Lytechinus pictus: one gene and its partner. The protein of the gene in region 1 purifies or fractionates together with the protein of each later gene. This does not show direct contact. Links are inferred from orthologs where the notes say so. Each region holds a gene or a part of one and is shown on either strand. Other genes may lie near its edges. The genes, in order: histone acetyltransferase KAT8-like and putative male-specific lethal-3 protein-like 2.

Evidence for each region.
Region 2: the proteins of histone acetyltransferase KAT8-like (region 1) and putative male-specific lethal-3 protein-like 2 purify together in Homo sapiens (affinity purification with mass spectrometry; 4 studies listed by BioGRID and IntAct, with this or other methods). This does not show direct contact. The link is inferred for Lytechinus pictus from reciprocal best matches to the Homo sapiens genes KAT8 and MSL3.

Annotation. Positions count from the first base shown.
Region 1 is NC_087262.1:19,535,206-19,545,671, reverse strand, and holds the start of histone acetyltransferase KAT8-like, read right to left. Parts: upstream 5,234-10,466; 5' UTR 5,124-5,233; coding exon 4,982-5,123; intron 1-4,981. Other genes in the region: peptidyl-prolyl cis-trans isomerase-like, read right to left, coding at 9,004-9,136.
Region 2 is NC_087256.1:929,237-940,410, reverse strand, and holds the start of putative male-specific lethal-3 protein-like 2, read right to left. Parts: upstream 4,035-11,174; 5' UTR 3,943-4,034; intron 1,021-3,942; exon of another isoform or gene 841-1,020; intron 1-840. UniProt on the Homo sapiens protein: Non-catalytic component of the MSL histone acetyltransferase complex, a multiprotein complex that mediates the majority of histone H4 acetylation at 'Lys-16' (H4K16ac), an epigenetic mark that prevents chromatin compaction.

The DNA of each region.
Region 1 (10,466 bases):
ACAGAATTTAAATCGGACTTGAAATGGCGAAGAAGCATTTTGAAATTGTGGACGGACGCCACGCAACGGCATAAGCTAAAAATGACAATTTAGAGGAAATACAATCAAGAAAATTTCACACTTGCTATTCCATATATTATAAAAATTATGAATATTATTTTATATTTACCAACTGTTTTCTTGGCATAGCACTTGCCGCATACCCCTCCATGAAAAACTATTATTTTCGTGCGTGACAAATTACATGTACATCATGATTCCAGATGCGCGCCGGACGTGTAAAGATATTCTTGACAAATTGATTATGATTTAAAATAGGAAGAATTTGTGTGATTTTTTCTCATATATCATATCATGGGTAAATTTTAAGTTTTTGTTTGCTTTTTATATCGAATCTGAGCAGATGTTGGTAATAAATTTGTGTTTGCTAACTAATTTTATTTTTTCCTTTTGAACTCCATGCTCCATGACACTTTCCAATATTATGCTCGTTAGTATTGTGATGCTCATCAAGTTGATGCGCTGTCAATCGTCAACGGCTCCAATCACGGTAAACCTCGCACACGGGTACCTTGAGAACTAGCTGTCGACGATCACCCACAATACACCACACCTCAACATTCGATCAAGGAGCGGAGAAGATTGAAATTCTGCAAATCAGGCCCATATTTCCGTTAGAAAATATCTCAATTGTTAATGCAAAACTATTTTCTGTCATTTTTAGAGATAATCAAAGGTAAAAGGTGGATTTTTGCGCCTTGCTTCTGCAATCTTGTTCTATGTATTCAGTACAGGCGCTGGTCAGAAAATTGGGATTGTCCCAGTTTACAGGGACTGTCTCAGTTTTCAAAGATTTCTCCACACAAGAAATCAAGTTCATTCCCTGCGCTAGTCAAATGTAAACATATCAGGTTTCATAACTAAGATTATTAAAAGACGGCAAGTTGTGAAAAATAGACAGTGAACTGGGGGGAATTGAGGTCACTAAATCTATTTCTAGCACTCTCAATCCCTATAATTGCTGTCTTTGTCCCGCAGGGGTAAGTGAAAAAAAACTGTCACCATATTACATAAACAAGAACAATCTCAATTTATCAAGACATGATTTGTCCTGCTTTATGAGGATATCCTTGTTTTCTGGGGCAATCCCAATTTTTGAACTAGCGCCTCTACCGGTATTGCTCTGTGTAATTGAACTGCGGAAGTCTAATGGTACGAAATTGTTTTCGTACGCAGTAACAATATGCGCGTCCGGAATCTAGTGTCCGGTAACAATAGTAATACGTGACTAGGGTCTATACACCCCCCCCCCCTCCCAGAAGAAATTTAGTAAATATGAATAGAATAGGACTTGAATTGAGTATATACGTTAGTTGTACTAATTTTCTGCAAAAAGCCAAAAATCTCGTCAAAATTGATATAATTCTCGAAAAAGTTAGGCCTAGACTCTAGATACACCATCCACGCAAGCAAACTCAACAATAGACCTTATCGCAAATAGATTCACGCAAAGGATCATGGGATCGAAAAGGGAGCAATAGCGCCACTATTGTCCGGATGCGACCATGCGAATGCAAGCAGCCGACAATAAAGTGTACGATTTCCATAGTGAATCAAAATATGATCGACGCCCGCAGCCAACATTTGCTAACTTCCAGTAAACGCCCCGTCACATTTGTTCCAGAGTCTAATATCACTTTTCTTCTTAATTATGGGTGGCAGATATAAATTTGCTATCTATAGTTGCAAGAATTACCACAGGTTTTATGCAAACAAGTGCAATTTTGTTTCATTTTCGCGCACTGTCTGTGCATTTTCTGAGCTGTGCAGCTGTGACTGTGCAAAGTGTGCTTGTATGGACTGCGGGCACTCTCAGCCCAGGGACAGAGTACGACGGCGAGGCAGTGGAGGAAATTAAACTGGTCCCGGAATTCCCAAGAAATTAATAAAATGATGATCAATGAAACAAACTCTGCAGTAGATTTGATTGCTTTATTCTACTTAAAATATTTTAGTAATATATCAATCGATTGTCAAGAATACATGTTTCATAAATAATTATCTCAATCATGATTTTATTCAGATATTAACCGAGCAGTGTTTTCTTTTTCTCTCCAGACACATAATTATTGCATGTAATTCAGGATCATGGCCGGACATTCTGAAGTTTTATTAGTGGCCTGGTCCCAAGATTTTATAATACTGCAAAGACAAAATAATGAATTAAATATAAAAAAATGTGAGAATAGATGAAAGTATGAGAGAAAAATAAGTTAGAAAAAATGAAATGAGGAAGGTACGTGATCTGTGAGAGATGTAATTAGTAACAGAATGAGATGAAATTAAAGGAGAATGAAACCCTTGAAACCAGCTGAATCCATATCAAAGAGAAAAATCAAAGAAACATATTGTTGAAAGTTTGAGGAAGATTGAATGAATAATAAGAAAGTTATGAGCATTCGAATATTGAGATCACTAGTGCCATGTAGATCCTCCCAACGGCAATGCGACCAAGATCTGTGATATCACACACGTACAACTCCCTCATTACTTTAGTACTTATTTCACTTATATTCTCACTTTTATAGAGTCTATCACAAGGTGAGGTGTTCTCTTTATGAGATGACAAGTACAGAGGTTTCACAACATTATATCATTGATGAATCGTTTGTCATATGATTAGAATGAGCAAAAAGATATGTTTTGGGGTATATTTTCAGTGTCCAAATGGGAGAGTTGTACGTGTGTGACATCACAGATCTTGGTCGCATTGCCAATGGGAGGATCTCCATAGCATTAGTGATCTCGACATTCAAATGCTCATAACTCTTTTATTGCTAGTCCTATTTTACTCAAAGTTTTGTTGATCTTATTCTTTGATTTTTCTGCTTTCACAAAAGCTAACTTGCTTCAAGAGTTTCATTCTCCTTTAATTGAAGATGCAAATTTTTACATATTTGTTTTATTAAAACAATGGAATATATAAATATGAATTAAATATCCATCAGCGGCTTAATTTTCAGACAAAATAAAATTACAGAGAGGTGAGAAATTCATGGATCACTCAGCATGCTTTTGTGTCTCAATATGCACTGCCACTTTTATAGTCTCAGTCACTCTCCGACTCTGAAGTCTGGCTCAGCCTCATCCTCAGGGAACCGTTTCATATAACTTGTTACAATAACAAATTTACCATTGCCCTGCCATTAAATGTTAACAAAAAATCTGATGCTATAGCGATGTGTGTACATAGTGTAAGCTACCTTCGTACGCCGTCGTGTCTACCCCGGCACGCGAGACGAATCGAGAGTGCAGTCAGCGCACAGCTAGTAGTACGTGATACGATGTCGATGGATCGATATCATGATGAAGCCCATATCTCGTGAAACGTACAAGTGTAAGCAGAGATGCCGAGTCATGAAAATCTCACGCATAACATTTTTTTGAACTTGGCATCTCTGTTAATCTGATTGGCTGTAAATTTGTACTTATAGAAATTATGCATACCGTATGGGCACTAGTATTCAACCCGGCATAATTCAAAGATTTGGACAAATTCCCCCAAATATTTAGAAATTGGGAATTTATCTTATTTGTCATACCTTTGAATTTGACTTTGTTATTTCCAGTGTAATCTGTTGTCGGTATTTTCTTTATCAATCTGTCGACTGTATGCGCGGAGGATCGAATTATGCGGCGGTGACCTTTTGCACTGAAATGCACTAACTATATATTCAACCTAGTGATGATAGATGGCTAATTTCAAAATGGTTTAGATTATTAGATCTAGATTTATGTAAGTCTCTGGCTTTGATTAATTCCGTTTGGTCTCATCTCAATTGGTCTAGTCCATAGTCGGATGGGACAAGGGCAGATTGAAAGACAGGGCCATCTTTTATCGCTAGGTTGAATACTAGTGCTAGCCAGGCGGCTTCTAGAGAGTAAAAATCATTTACTAACGTCAGGTTACTCTCATACGAAGCCAGGACTTCTACATCATAGACCCACACAAAGGAAGCCAAACCTGGCTGAAACTTTCACCCCCGAGATTTCTATTTTCCTTCTAAAAGATCTAGCTCTAAATCATGTACATGGGATAAAAATTAAAACTTAATTTCCGACATTTCTACGCTCTCGTTGTTATTTTTAAAACAAGAATTCATCAAAAAATGAAAAAAATATTGTGAAAAGACGGAAGAGACTTGCCCGATGTTTACGCCGCCATCTTGTTTCTTATTGTACTTCCCCAACGTTACGGACGCGAGCGTCGCGTAACGTTGGTGAAGTGCAATAAGATAACATCGGGCAAGTCTCTTCCGTCTATTCATGATATTTTTCTCATTTTTTTTTGATGAATTCTTCTTCAAAAATAACAACGAGAGCGTAGAAATGTCGGAAATGAAGTTTTATCCCATGTAGGCCCTACATGATTTAGAGCTAGATGATAGATCTTTTAGAAGGAAAGTAGAAATCTTGGGGGTGAAAGTTTCAGGTTTTGGCTTCCTTTGTGTGGGTCTATGTATGAGGTAGAAGTCTTGGCTTCGTATGAGAGTAACCTTACGTTAGTAAATGATTTTTACTCTCGAGAAGCCGCCTGGCTAACTAGTGCCAAAAACCATCGCCGTATAATTCGATCACCCGCGCACACAGTCGACGGGTTGAAGAAAAAAATAACTGAAATTTGAAAAGAACATGAAGAATAACCAGCATTTGCTCTTGAAAATAAGACGGGTCTGAAATTCAGGTTAATTCTATATTTCTATACATTTGAGGAAACTCTCCAAACGGGTTGAATACTAGTGCCCTTACGGTATGTTATCATGATAACAAGTCTTTATGAAACGGGACCCTGTCCCTGGTCTCACTCGGTTGACCACAAAACAACGCCAGAGAGTTCGGGCGAGGCGGGACACGAATTCATTCTCCGCACCGCAATGCTAGGGCTAGGACGGGCTTTGTTTACTCAACGATTCATACTTACGCCACGTGTTGTCGTGTCGCTTTATCAAGAAAGTATCGCCGATTTTCAAGGAATTTTCGTCATTTTCGTTTTCAGAATCGTTGGTGCTTCCATTCTGTGTCGATGTCGTTTTAGAATCAGAGTCTTTCAATGATGAATTCATGTTGTTTCCTTTGATTAAGATGAGGAACTCTTCGCTTTTATGTCACAGGTTGGTGGTCCGACTGGTTCCCGCATCACATATCGTCGATAGACACGTACGCGCGCACGCACCAATATAAAATGCGCGCGCGAAATTACATCACCGGTACGTGCATGCCACACACGATCCGAACACATTGACTACCGAATAAAAATATATTTTTAAAGGTTTGATGAAAAAAGATAGTTTTCATTTAAATTCATTTTTAACATGTACCGGTACTTCCCTTGTGCTCTTCTGTATTTTGCCAAGCCCTCTCCCAAGTCTCTCATTCGTAATAGGTCCATGCTCATACATACCCCCACTATATCTCGGGAGATAAACCTCCTATAACACTCACCCTCTGGGGGGCGTTTCATGAAAGGACTTAATTGTCGGACGTTTTATCTGACAAGTCCCATTTTATCCGACAGTTACCATAGTAACAGTGCTTCTTAGCCAATCAACATCAGAGAAAGATGTCAGATCTGACAACTTGTTGGACAAAAATGTTGATGAAGGTTAGCGATAAATCATTAAATGAATGGCCCATTAAAGTTGCATCGCATTTATGCTCAGTAGACTAAGAACCAATCATAATTGCTCTTTTAAATTAGTGATCGCTTCCTAACCTTTGTATGACAGGGCCCTGGATATCTCCATCTCTCATACCCCACCCGGCCATCTCTCTCTCGAGCAAACTGCCATACATCTATTGCCAACTCGTCCACTAATCACATGGTCTACCTTCATTTAGTCTAATGCCATTCCGTCCACCAACATTTTGTCTAACCACCATCTGGTCCAATAATCACTTTGTCTAATCACCAGTTCGTCTATAACCATTTCGTCTAATAACAAGTTGGTCTCATACCCACTTTCTTTTCATTCATTTTGCCTTATTAACACTTATCCAATTAGACCAAATGGTTTATGGACGATCTGCATGGCTATTGGACCAACTGGTTATCAGATGAAATGGTGAGTGGACGAAGTGGCAATTAGACCATGTGGATAGTGGACAAATTGATGATAGACCCAATGATAGTAGACAAATTGGTAATTAGGCGAATTGGCAGTAGACCAAATGGAAATAAACCGAGCAAACTCCCCTATCCATTTATTTCCACCTTTTGTCCTTTCCTTCTCTCTACCCCCATCCCCTTCCTCTATTACCAATCTAAACAGTTTCTATTGCCCCGTGCTCGCCGCACAGAAACGTTGTTAGCCTAACAGAGCGCCAACAGTAAGCCCAGTCACATCTTTCGGATTGGGATTGTGAAGGCAAAACATTTCAATGTGTAAGTAATGCAATGATGTAACATTAGGCATTGCTGCCACATTTAATACCGGTTGTAACAGGACACTCTGTCAACGTTTCAGTGCGGTCAGTACACGTTTTCAGAGCATTCTTTAGGATTTGTTTTATGCATTCATTAACAATGGGGAGGGAAGGGGAAGGTATAATGAAAATCACTTATTTAGTTAAAGGGGTATCCAGGCTTAAAATATGGTTTGAACAGATAAGGAAAAAATCAAACAAAACAATGAAAAGATTTACATTGTGAAACAGTGCTATGCATGTCTTCATGAATATTCAATGAGCAATCTGATGGCATATCCCCACTTGTTTTTTTTTTTTAAGGTAAAGTCCACCCCAGGAAAATGCCAGCCAGGATGTGCATATAACTGTTTTGTGAAATTAAGTGACACTTTAAAATGTCATAACTTTATTTTATATCCGATTTTGATGAAATTTTCAGTGTTATGCTTGTTGGATTTTTCTCTTTTAATTCAAATCAACTTTTTGTTGGGGTGGACTTGTCCTTTAATATTTTATTACATGAAATTATGGTCTTTTTTTTCCTCCAAGAATAAAAAAAATGAATTGACAACCGATTAAATATTTATTGTTGCAACATATTTCATTTTAAAGAAGACATATCATTCAAACATGAAATTACGATTTCATGTAACATAAGAAAAAGGAAACTGAAAGTTAAGGATGTGACATCAGCCAACCTAATGAATATTCATGACATGAACACATGACACGACTGCTTTCACAAAATATAACCTTGTTTTTTTAATCAGATATTGATGAAATTTTCACCATTTTGCTAGGTTAATTTTACTCTATTTATTTAGATAATATAATTATCACCAGCCCATTTGTGCATACATGTATAACCTCTTACACTCATCCAAGTTAGATGGCAGTATGAACTCTGAAAACTTTCGATTTCTTGGCGACATGCTAACCAAAAATTAAAGGAATAAAATAATTGGAGGGTTCCGATACCTTAAAAAAAACCCCTCAAACAATAGGGTGTTTTCGCTTTTACTAGGGGGAAAATCTCTAGAATGCAGCAGATCCGAACATTTGCCACGGAAGAACAAATGCAAATACTGTATGTCATTGTCCAGAGTCGCATAGATTCTGATGCTATCGCGGTCTACAAACTTACGACATAAGCCTCTCAGCTCTATATTGTGATTCGACTTGCATTTTCAAAGGAATTGGTGCATTGGAGAGTTTCCTCCTAGGAAATGCGAAAAGTCCGGAACCCACAAATTGACTACATTGACTGCTCTGGCGTTCAAGAGGTTCATGCATGGAAGTGGGCTGTTCTGGACTCCATACCTCCTATGTGTAAAGCCTGACACTACAAAAAGCCCCCCAAACCAATATATTGACAAACAAATTCAGATGATTTTCCAGACAGAGTATGGTTTATTGTTTACTACCTGGGAGATAAAGAAAATACTGATTTTCTTCTAGTCGACAAAGACATTGTGCACACTAATACAAAAAATACAAATATCGTGTTTAAAACATTACAAGGGAACACAGCTACATGTTACTGTGAATATTCCATGATCAATTTCATACTGTAATTTTGGTTGAACCAAACTGACTTGCTGGGCGGTCAGATAAATTTCTAATCCAAATTATACAAATTAGAATCTCAAGAATAAACATGAACTGTTTAGGAATAAGTGACAAGAAAATGTTTCACACCGATTATCGTGGATGAATAAAAGCCCCATTGACAAATACATGTATGTAATTATTGGGACATACACTTGGCTTCACAGAAGACAAGACCCCCGCCCCCTTCTCCAATGCTACATTGAATTTCAAAGTATTCTAATTGTAACACATGAATATATTAAACATGAGAAAACACTGTATCAAAGCCTATTAAAAAAATCTCACTTGATGTTACAGAGCAGATGATATAGGTCTGTAATGGAGAAACGTTTTTTTTTTAACCATCACGTGAATTTAATCTTACTAAATGGCAAATAAGGATCTATTTTTAGGTGCCATATAAAACTTTTTTTTTTCACTTGAGCTATGGACAGATTACTTCATTCAGTGAAAGGTGAAATGGTTCATTCAACATGGCTATGCCTTGTTGAACGGATCCTCTTTCACCTCATGAAGTTGAAGTAGTCCGTCCATTGCACTCATAAACACTATTTGTGTATATTGAACATGTATTAATGTACAGTGCATACAATATAGGATGATCGCGACATATTATTGTCCATGATGTCCATCAGTCTAAGCATAGCCTAAAAAGAATATTGATGAATAATCCACAATCATAAGATCATTTACGTCTAGCGGCTGTTACCATGTACAAGTACTTCTATATAAACCTGATGATAAAAGTGAATTTTGAAAGTTTATACAGCATGTTCCACAAGTGACTCAACACATCTACACATTAAAAAGGAGAAAAGTAAAGATTTATCTTGTACAAAATTATTATATTTAACACCACATGCTTCTACACCTCTTATAATAATAACACAACTTAACAGGATTGTCTGATGATTGAAACCTGATGATTTACATCTGACCACAGTCTGTAATAGTGATCTTCTTACTGGTCTTGCCACTATCGCTACCATATCCCTCGATTGCCTTCACGACATCAAGACCTTCAACCACACTGCCAAAGACCACATGTTTTCCATCGAGCCTGAGAAGGGAATAAACCAATGATTATACTTTAGCCTGGGCTAGGGTATTTTAACCCTAATATCAAATATGATTTGTGATACTCTATTATCCTTATGTCCAAGTTTCATTAATTAGATCCATAACCTTTCAAAGTTAAAACATTTTTAACAAGTGGAGTGCCAGAGCTACGACTATTGAATACTCATTCACAAAAAAACACCATTCATATAACAAGACAGTATATTCATTTACCCTAAATGACCTTCATCATGCGACCTAAGACTCATGCAAAACAATAAGTGATACTTGATTACCCTTTCGTCTTTATTTAATGAACCAGATCCATAAACTTTTAAAGTTAATGATGGCAATTGAACAATACCCCCAACATGGCCAAAGTTAATTGACCTTAAATGACCTTTGACCTTGGTCATGTGACCTGAAACTCTCACCAGATGTTTAGTGATACTTGTTGCTCTTCTGTCCAAGTTTCATGACCTAGATCCATACACTTTCAGTTATGATGGCAATTCAACCATTACCCCCAACATGACCAAAGTTCGTTGACCCTAAATTACCTTTGACCTTGGTCATGTGACCCGAAACTCAGGCAGGACTTTCAGTGATACACCATTACCCTTATGTCCAAGTTTCATGAATTATATTCATAAACTTTCCAAGTTATGAAAAAATTTAAAAAAACTTAACCTTGGTTAAGATTTCGATGTTACATGGTCTAAGTCCATTGACCCCAAATGACCCACCTTGGTCATGTGACCTGAAAACTTGGGCAGGATGTTCAGTGATACTTAACTAACCTTATGTCCAAGCTTCATGTACGTTTCTAATATAGGACATTTCAAAAAAATTAACCTTATTTAAGATTTCATGTTGACTAGGCAGCCGTCGCCATCAGAAAAGCAGCACCTAGTCTCGCTCTGCTATGCAGGCCAGGAGACAAAAATACCCCAAATGTGATCAATTCACACTGCACATATTTTCCTTAACTTAACCTGAAAACGCCAAGGGGGGGGGGGCGGCGGATACTCCCCCCGACCCCCCCCCCCCCCGCCTTTTCAGGTTAAGTTAATAGAGCTATGTCAATCTGGTGCTGCACAGTAGCTGCCAAGTCCACGATAAATTGGGCAAAAATAATGTTTGTAATGATTCCATTTTAGATTTGTATTTTGAACAATATAGATTTTCATATTTTCATTAAAAAAAACCTTACCTTGGTTAAGATTTCAATGTTAATAATTTAACCAAAGACAACTCATGGACATGAACAGCCAAATTCAAAGAGTGCTTCAAAAATTGGATAGTAATTTGAACTGCACCATCAATACTGA
Region 2 (11,174 bases), on another chromosome or scaffold:
ATCAGAATCAAGGAAAGATGTCAGATCAGACAACTTGTCGGACAAAAATGTTGATGAAACGCCCCCCAGGTGTACACCTCCATTGACCGACACAACTGTAAACATCAATATGTGGAAGATCATTATTAATGTCAGTGTAGGCTGTCTATATCATCATTATTACACAGTACTGAATGAATTTTGTGAATCATACACACGGAACAGTTTTGCGTTCAAAATTTGAAGAGCATTTGTGGCCTGTATTGTATATTACACAAGACTTTTTATGTAGCAATCTTTGCAATGTGAAATCAGAAAAAGTTATTTCCTGTTAAGTTGGAACTTTTGAATAGTTTTACTGGCAGATTAGACAAGTTCCTACACTCCTTGTTCATGTGTCTGAACAGACTGCCGAATAAGTTTTGTTTCAGCTAAATATCATGATCAAGAATATTCCATAAAACAGCCTGTTTCCAATAGAATTCAATACACCATGTTCTATTTGAAAACTGCATTCCAAACTGAACAAACATTTGTTGTGAGGAGTACGGATGGACATGTACAATGAGATGGAGAATAAAGTGGGCTCTCACAAGTTTCAGGACAATAAAATCTAAAAAATGAAGTGCAAACTCGAGCAAGCAGATAAACAAAACATGTGGAAGCTTGCTTGTCCAGATATTGACCTTTAACCTACAGAATTCACCAAGACAGGTCTGTGTTATGCCCCATCATTCAGTACGTTTCCGGAAGCTTGCCAAACATGCACAGTATAACATACTGTAGATCTACATGTAAGTTACACTGTTTCTTGACAATTTGTATGCTATGATTGCTACGATTCTCCTTGATTCAACTTACCACTGGGCCAAGGCCCTCAAGAGCAAACATAAAGATAATCCTCAAATCTATACTGCCTTTCCAGTATTGATAAACAGAGACATCCATAAAATCATTTGTTTTCTGCATTGTATTGTAATGAATTGAAAACCCCCGCCAATACGGACGACTGATGACCTTGGTGACCTTCACCGTAGCTCCCTAACAATAGACAACCAGCTGACTAGCAAACAGTACCAGGCTACCTCTAAAGTGGTAGTCTACTGATACAGACACTAATTGAACACCTATGGCATGACAGCTGTAAGCTTTCCATTTAAACAGTAATTATTAACATGGTACTCGATTTTGATACCCATAATGTTGGAATCACCATGAAAACTTGAAAAAAAAATCATACAGTCAGTAACGACAAAGACAAGGAGGAGAAAAGGATGAATAGATGATTGAAGAAAAGAAAGGAATTGCCCCAGGCTGGGTGTGTGAATCAGTAGTCTGGAACAGGAGACTGTAGTGGATCGGATCTTTATAAAGTTAATGGATTTCAATAAATGTTAAAGGTTTTTTGTCATAAAAATGCTAAAATCAAGCCTGTACTGAAGGACTTTACGTACAAGTAGCATCTTTTTTTTAGTCAAATGTTGATTTTTGTTTTGTTTTTATTTATTTTCTAAATTATTATCTTTTTTGGGGGGGGGGAGGGGGGTTATAAAAATTTCATCATCAAGCCTGTATCGATTAATCAAAAAGAATTCATATTCATTTTCAAGTTTCAATACATTTCAGAAAACCCCACATAGCACAATTGCGAGAAATGGGCATTTCCATGCTTTGGCCTGATAATGGAAAGCAGGCCATAGATGAACCATTAGTCAGATTAGAGCACGTAAAACTGGTATCATGGAACCCTTAAAGGTCAAGTCTACCCCAGCAAAAATATTGATTTGAAATTCAAATGTAAATAGAGAAAAATCAAACTAGCCTATTGCTTTAAATTTCATCAAAATCGGATGTAAAATATGAAAGTTATGACATTTTAAAGTTTATCTTATTTTTCACTAAACAGTTATATGCACAACTCAATAACCTGCAAATGAGAGAGTCTATGATGTCCTTCACTCACTATTTCTTTTGTTTTTTATTGTTTGAATTATACAATATTTCAATTTTTACAGATTTGACAATAAAGACAAACTTGACTGTGAAACATAAAATGTTTAACAATGGTAATTCCACACGTTCAGGGCAAAATAAAAGTGTGTTTCACAGGACAATGAGGAGAAAATTAGAATATTTCATATTTCATATAATAAAATACAAAAGAAATAGTGATGTCATCAGTTCACTCATTTGCATACCGACCAGGATGTGAATAAAACTATTTTGTGAAATTAAGCGAAACTTAAAAATGTCATAACTTTCTTATTTTACATCCGATTTTGATGAAATTTTCAGTGTTGTACTTGATGGATTTTTCTCCTTTTATTCAAATCCACTTTTTGTTGGGGTGGACTTGTCCTTTACGTTTTTTTGTCATAAAATGCCCAAATCAAGCCTGTACTGAAGGACTTCATGTACATGTAGCACCTTTATAGTCAAATGTTGATTTTTGTTTTTATCATTATTATTATTATTATTATTATTATTTTTTTTTTTCAACATCAAGCCTGTATCGATGTTTGGTTAATCTAAAATAATTCATATTCATTTTCAAGTTTCAATACATTTCAGAAAACCCCACATAGTACAATTATGAGAAATAGGCATTTCCATGATTTGGCCTGATAATGGAAAGCAGGCCACAGATGAACCATTAGTCAGATTAGAGCACAGAAAATTGGTATCATGGAACCCTTAAAGGTCAAGTCCACCCCAGCAAAAATGTTGATTTGAAATTCAAATGTAAATAGAGAAACATGAAACTAGCCTTATGCTGTAAATTTTCATCAAAATCGGATGTAAAATATGAAAGTTATGACATTTTAAAGTTTATCTTATTTTTCACAAAACAGTTATAATTATATGCACAACTCAATGACCTGCAAATGAGATAGTCTATGATGTCCTTCACTCACTATTTCTTTTGTTTTGATTGATTGATTGAATCCATTTATTTCATTTCGATAAAAAGATATTTACAAAGTATAACATACACGATTATCACATAATATGCCAATAAATACATGAAAATATGAAATGAAATAAGAGAACTTAAAGAAAGGCCTTTAAGGCTTTGTGGGTAAAAGTTCCCTCAAATACATGTACATGTACTACATTGCGTTACAGGCATACATGTATTAGAATCTTCAATTTGGTATACCCCACCCCCCCTTTAAAAAACATATCGAAATAGTCTTACATGGGTATTATCTACATCCACACCATATCACACAAAACACACTCACCCCACACGACACATCCATTAGCTATCAGAGGAATTAGATGCCAAGGTAAAGTTAGGTATATATTAATGTAAATTGATAAATGGTAAACAATGTAACAATACTCAAATGTGAAGAGATATTTTTTTCAATGCCCTCTTATACTGCAATAACGTTTTACATTCAATACAATTACTTGGGAGGGAATTCCATATAATAGGTAGACTATGACGCACTGACTTTGAATAATACAATAATACAATATTTCATTATTTACAGATTTGAAAAAAGGATCAACATGACAACCATACTATATACATGTAGAACAATGCTAATTCCACATGATCAGGAGGAATCAATCTTTGTTCCACTTGACAATGAGATAAGAATATTTCATATAATAAAATACAAAAGAAATAGTGAGTGGATGACGTCATCAGGCTCCTCATTTGCATAACAACAAGGATGTGCATACGTGTACTAAACTGTTTTGTGAAATTAAGCAAAACTTTAAAATGTCATAACTTTCTATTTTACATAAGATTTCGATGAAATTTTTTTGTAATGCTTGTTGGATTTTTCTCTTTTTATTCAAATCAACTTTTAGTTGGGGTGAACTTTTCTTGAAAAAAGATTGTGTTTCTTATATTAGAAAATATATACCAGAATCTGAATAGATAGAAATTACTGCCAAGTGCCCACACAAAAGAATATATATTATTCATTTGAATGGCAGTCTTACCTATGATTCCAGCCATTGAAGTGAACTAGGTACTCTGGAACTCTCTTGCCTGCACTATCTCTTGTCCAATCTACTTTCAGTATCTAGTAATTAAAAAAAAAGTAAAAGTTTTAAGGCCACCATAATTTGATGTAAATGTAGTATGGTAGGCCTACATATTTATTGGCGTATTTTTTATATTGTAATGTAAATATTGAACCATATCATGACTATGTTATTTTTATTTCAATATTTTTGTGTAAATGTTTGGTGTTAAAAGTGATCAAAATCTGGATTTGCAAAAGCTGATATATATTTTTGTTATTTGTTTTTGAAAATCTCCTTTTTTAAAGGAGAAAATCTATGTAAGATGGTTTATTTTCGTCATTTTCTTACCTTGTTTATTTCCTTTAACTTTTTTTCTTCAGCTGTTTTACATTTCTGTTAGTCTAGACTTGAGTTCAATTACATTTCTTTTCAGTACTGCCCTTGCAGTCTGAATTTAGGTTATTTGAGTTTAAAATACTTGCATCGGCCGGTAAATATCATGAACTGTATATTACATTTACCGGCCGATGCAAGTAATTTACGATTTATGAAATTTATCGGCCGGTGCAAGTATTAAAAAAAATCTAGGTTGGCACTGCTCATGATTTTGCCACCCTCTATAGATGCGTTGCATCGCGAGGATGCAATCACAAAGGAGACAAGATGGTGTCAATAACATGTAAGTAAAACGCTCTTCTACCTGTCTACTTTTAATAATTTCCTTTCATTTTAGCATCATTACATAAATTTTTTTTTTTTTTTGTCTGAAAATGCAACAAAAGAACCGGTGAGTACCGATTAAACATTTATTTAATAGAACATATTTTATGACTACAGTTTTAACAATTTCTAGATAATATTGCTTAGTTCTAAGCTAGGGCGGCCCAAATGCGCGTGAGTGGAGTCCCAGTTTATTAACACGGGTAAGTATTGGGGTGTCGCCTAGAGTGTTTGAAATGGTTGTTTGATATAAATAACAATTTGTACCTCTAATGAATAACAAATGTCGCATTGAACTTGTGCAGTGATGAGGTGAATTGAAATGAATAGACCGAGCGGATCGCGATCGAGCTCTGTGACTGTGTGTCGCTAGCTAGTGCATATGGGCAGCCAAAAGGGCCAAAATTAACAATCTCAAAAATTAAGAAACTCTCAGAAATAAATGTAGTATCTCAGTCTTTCATAAATAAATGCAGCCTCTTTATTTTTGACGTATTTACTAGTTGTCCAAAGTAATGTATTCATTTCTGAATGTTATACTTCTGAGAGTTTCTTTATTTTTGAGATTATTAATTTTGACCGTTTTGGCTGCCCATAAGTGCAGTGGTCACGGCGCCGGTCATGTGCAATCATCAGGTGTGAAGCCAAAGGAGACAAAGGGGGTATGTCAGCCCCCTCCTTGGCAGCAAATGGGTTACATCAGGGATGGAAGGGGTATATCTCTTTTCAAACATAGTATTGACACCAGGGGTGGATCTAGGATTTTCCAAGGGTGGGGGGGGGGCACATTTTCCCCGAGGAAAAATTTGACAAGCAAAAAAATAAATGTTTTCAACCAAAAAGGAAGTACATTTCTTCTACGAAAAAATCTGACAAGCAAAAAAAAAAGTCCTCACTTTCAAAGGGGGGGGGGGGGGCACACACTTAAGTTTTCACAGCATTTAAATTTTAATTGTGCCTCTCAAGGGGGGGGGGGGCACGGGCTGGCTGTGCCCCCTTGACACCAGAGGTTAGTTACACCCCCCCGGGCACCCCCAATTTAAATGCATGCCCTGTACATGACCAGTGGAGGATCCAAAGGGGGGGGGGGGCACATCCTACCCACCCCCTTGAGAGCCATTATAAAAGAAAATCTAATGTAAAATGCTGCTTTTACACGTGTACCCTCCCCCTTTTATTGGTGGCAGGCTGGCGGCAAGCCCCCCCAAAATATTTTGGGGGGGTCCACCTGAAGAAAAAAAAGGGTTATCAACCAAAATTTTAGGGGGGGCCATCAAGGGGGGACCCAGGGAAAAAATTGACAATGGGAAAAAAAGGGTTATCAACAGAAAATTTAGGAGGTCCGTTTTTTTTACTCCCCCCCCCCTTCATGCAGGTATATCCGTGGACCCGCCTCTACTGCAGCCTTTGAACAAACAAACTTACACAGCTTGTAATACACAGTCATACAAATTCAAATTTTTCAAATTAAGTTTATCGATATAAAATCCTGACATTGAAGGTGATCATCAAAAAACAAAGAAACATTAGAAAAAAAAATAATAGAGCATAAGCATAACATAGTAACAACGAGGTACACACAACATACACAAAACCATATTTCATATTTTGCTAAGACCCCCCCCCCCCCCCCCCGGCTCTCTCCCCTCCTCATGCATAAAGCCTGAATCTCCCCTCCTCATGCATAAAGCCTGAACTCCCCACTTTGTTTGCATCAGTCAGCCACTCTCGTGATCACATGACACATGCACACACAACATATCCACATTCAGCATTGCTGGAGTCATCGACGAGGTACATTGTACATGTACAGTGCAACATGCAAATGAGTGTTGGCAGCCAAAAATGTATCTCATGAACAAGACTTGAAATTAGCGGGCGCTGAGCGCAAATTCGCGCTCATAAAGCCATCAATTGCGCCCATAAAGCCCCAAAATCATCAAAATTTTGACGACCGGGCGCAAATATTTTCCAGGTAATTGCGCCCGCCGTGAGTGAGCAGTGAAGCCATATCATACTTGTAATTTAAATGGCAAAAAGAAGCTGCTGAAAACTGCTTATCTAATAAAAGAGAGCCAATGGAGTAAATTAGAAAGTCAAAAAGGGGCCTAAGCTTTCGATCCTAGCAGAATCTTCGTCGGAGGCAAAATGACAAACATATAAAGTGGAACAACCATAATATAGACCACAAACAAGCTACAGCAACACTAGAAACAAGGAGACAAAAGGGGCATTAGTGAGTAGAGAAGACCAATCAGGTTAGTGAAGGGGATGAAAGAAAAGGAGTAGGCAGACACAAAGGGAAGTTAGTGTAAGTAAGGCCAGTAAAAGACCTCAAGCCAAGAGGGATTAAAATAATGAGGCAGGCAACATCAAACAGGATCTGGAACAAAACAGTGATAATGGGATGAAAAACAAGAGAATTAGTGAGAGGTGGGTCAAACAGGTTACAAAGGAAGGCTTAATAAACTGGTGCATAAGAGTGGGGGAAAAAAAGAAAAAGAATGGGGAACAACTGATAATGTGCAAAAGACATATAAGTATATATGATAAAGCATTAAACAAACTAAGAGAAGAAGGTAAGTGTAAATATGTATCTATAAGTGATATGTATATAAATATATCCAAAAAAGAAATCTATATGAAAAAATATATAAATACACATATGGTGTAACTGATATTGTAATCCGCTAGGTGTGACGGGAAAAAAAACATAAGACTATATAGTAGGGAAAAAAAAAAGAAAAAAAAAAAGGACCTGTATATGTGAAAAAGAGGAAGCAAATTGCCTAAAAAGGTAAAAGCAAATATAGAAGAGAGGGGGTGTATTATGAAGAAACCATAGTATACATGTAAATAAGCAAATGTGGTAAATCTAAAAGAGGTGAGTGGAGAAAAAACAAATATATATATATATATATATAATAATTATTATATCGCCTGAATAAGGAAGGAAAAATTGGAGCTGAGCTTGTGTGAGATATGGGAGGAAAGTAGAGTAAGAAACTATAATGTAACTATATATTCAAAAGAGCTGAGGGGAAAAATTATATGTATATATAAATTGAAAGTGGATAGGAAAGAAAAATCAGTCGTTCCCCTCTTGGATGTTCAGGCCATGAGGTTGGGTGGTGCGAAGTCGTCTCATCCAGAGCTTCTCCCTGCTAGTACGGACTGAGTCCGGACGGGTCCCTAAAGATTGTAATTTAAATATCTGAAAAGCCAAAATCAAGTAACTTTCAATTTACGATAGACACAGTTTAAAATTGCCAAGTGCGTCTTTTTTTCTGTACCATAAAAAGTGAGCTACGTCCGTCTTTTTTTTTCTGTAATACATGTGCGCGCGTGTTTCCGGTAGCGGTTTTTCCATACTTCACCATGTGCAATTTCTAATGCACACATTTCCAGTTGGGATATCACAATTCTGCGATATAGTAATTCGAATTGCACAGGAGATAAATCCCTGTTCACAGCACATACGATGTGCGAGTCTTTTATCCTCACAGTCGCCGACTTTGCTTGTCAAAACGGAGCCTTAATAATCCAAAATCACTTAGCTTATAGTTGTGAATTGTAGCTTTTTAATTTCTTTCTAGGAGAGGGGTTAATATCAGACAATAAATCATCAAACAAGGCTCCATCTAAAAAAAAATAATAGGAGGATGCCGTGCACTTGAGTGTGGTGTTAGCTAGCTAGTTTGAGCTCATGTTCTCTGCCAGAGCTCTGGGTGAGAATTCTATCAGTAATGGCCTAAGTGATGGTGATTTTCCGTTTCAGATAGTTTAGATTTCATGTTAATTTTTGAAAACTGTCAAAATTTTGATTTCTTTATTGTGATGAATATTTAAGTTATTAATGAATACATTTTCACCGAATTTAGACTCTCCCAGAATGAAAGGCATTTTCTGTGGAGATCTGCGTTTTCAAACAACTTGTGAAAAACTTAAGGTACATGAACCTTCAATACATGTACATAGCCTGTGGCTATGTGCTGGAATTTGAATAGACTGAGTTAATACCCCGGTAGATATTGATTTAATTTCTTCATTTCTTTAACATAATTTATATGCAATCCAAGTGCACCTCACAGTCACAATCACACACAAACACTCACCCACACCCGTGATTCTAACCATGAAGAAAACCTTTAATTTTTTTTTTTTTTTCTAAATTTATTATTTGATCTGAATTCTCTCTTTCTCCATCTCTCTCTTTTTTTACATTTTTTTAAATTCATTTATTTAGATTTTTTTTTTTGGGGGGGTTCATTGATCGTGGTTCATTAAAGATGAAAAATAAATAAGCCCATGTGTGTGTGGTTGTAAAGGGGATGTGGAGTGAGGGTGTCAAAACACACTTAAACATTTAAATCTGATTTCTTAAATGTTTGAATAAGCCTAATACTTAGCATGCTATTTTTTTTTTTTTCATGAACTAATAAAAAAATTACAGGAGCTGCGCTTACTATAAACAAATTTGCAGTGTGGTTCACCGTTATATATATATTTTTTAAATTGCCCCCGGTTCCTGTAAAAAGCCCGTGAGCCGGGGGCAATTTTAAAAAAAATTGCCCCCGGCTCACATGTGCTTATTTCAAGGCTTGCTCATGAATAAATTAGCATGAATATGCTCCCCCATTTCTCTGCAAAAGATCATATGGCAACAAAAATTTAAAAGATTGTAGAAATATGACATCAACTACTTGATTGTAGAGCTAAACTCCACTGAATATATATATTTACATGTATATACTTCATTTTATATGAAATAATTAGGCCCTATATGCTAATTTATTCATAAAATCATTTTTTCTGTTCTAATTCAGTATTGGTAATTAAAGCTTGTAGAGTGCTAATTTTTGCCGTACGTATTCTTCATGGCATTTCTAACAAATTTTTTAAAAAAACAACTGATATCAAAGACATTTTCTTACATATTTCTTCGCTTTTGAAAATTAAATCACATATTTCAGCATTTTGGGGGCTGACATGTACTACTAACAGTAGAGGCGCACGGGCAGGGTTGGCACGTTTTAAACGGTGTGTTTTAAAACACGTTTTAAAACGCGTTTTAAAACACCCGTTTTTTTTACAAAAAAAACGTGTTTTAAAACGCCTCATAGACTTGTGTGTTATAAATATGCATGGTCATGGATGTGATTTTAGATGAATATTTTTTTTAATTCTTTTATTTCTTAAGTGGTATATTATTTTCTTCTAACTAAATCTCTTTTTCAACACCACTCTTTCCTTCTTAATCCCCCTTTCTCCACCACTTTGTCATGTTCCTTGAAATCCTCTTGTTCAATTGTGCACATCAATCTATAGAATATTCTCATTATAACAAACATCTGAGTGTTGTGCTCACTTTTTAGACAGGGAAAGAAACACTATTTAAAATAAGCTCAAATGTGTAATAGTAGTACTTGAATGAATGGAGGAGTTGCAAAAGCATAAAATACTTTACAAATAGACTGAAAAAATTGACATTGTATTCTTGAGGTACATACAAAAGCAGGTGAAACTTTGTGCTTCGTAAAGATGAAGAAAAGTAGTTTAATTCAGTATAAGATTGTCAGCTAGCAAACCTTAAAGGACAAGTCCACCCCAAGAAAAATACATGTATATGCTGAAAATTTCTTTAAAATCGGATGTAAAATGATAAAGTTATGACATTTTAAAGTTTTGCTTATTTATGCAAAACAATTAGATATCTTGGTCGGTATGCAAATAAGGGGACTAATGACATCACTCACTCACTATTTATTTTGTATTTCGTTATTTTCTCATTGTCATGTGAAATAAAGTTTTATTCCTCCCTGAACATGTGGAACTACCATTGTTTTTAACATTTTTTTGGGTCAGTCAAGTAGGTCATTATTATCAAATCTGTAAAACTTGAAATTGTATTGTTCAAACAATAAAAAACAAAATAAATAGTGAGGAACATCATCGACTCTTTCATTTGCATAACACTGAGATGGTTGGTATTACTGTTTTGTGAAAAATAAGCGAAACTTTAAAGTGTCATACATGTAACTTTTTTCACATTTGATTTTGATGAAATTTTCAGCATTATACTTGTTTGAATTTTCTCTACTGATTGAAATCAACATTTTTCTGGGGTGGACTTGACCTTTAACCCTAACAATCCCAGGGGACCGTAATGGCCCCCTAAAAATTTTCTATGATGAATCCATGAGCACGACAGGGCCACACCATATTGTTCAAGACTATTTTGGGGATGCATGCATGGGTATGTGATTATGATATTACACAAGTGCATGTCAGACCCCGAATTGCTCAATAACGTGATTTCATGTATAAAGCCAATGTGAATTTTTTGCCAACATTCGTACCTGTACCAATATTTGTACATGATTGGAAAATTATAGCCAATAATTTCCATTTAAAAAAAACCTAACCAAAAAAACTGTTCATAAGAAATATATAAAAAAGTTAAAACAAACACTAAAAAACATTTT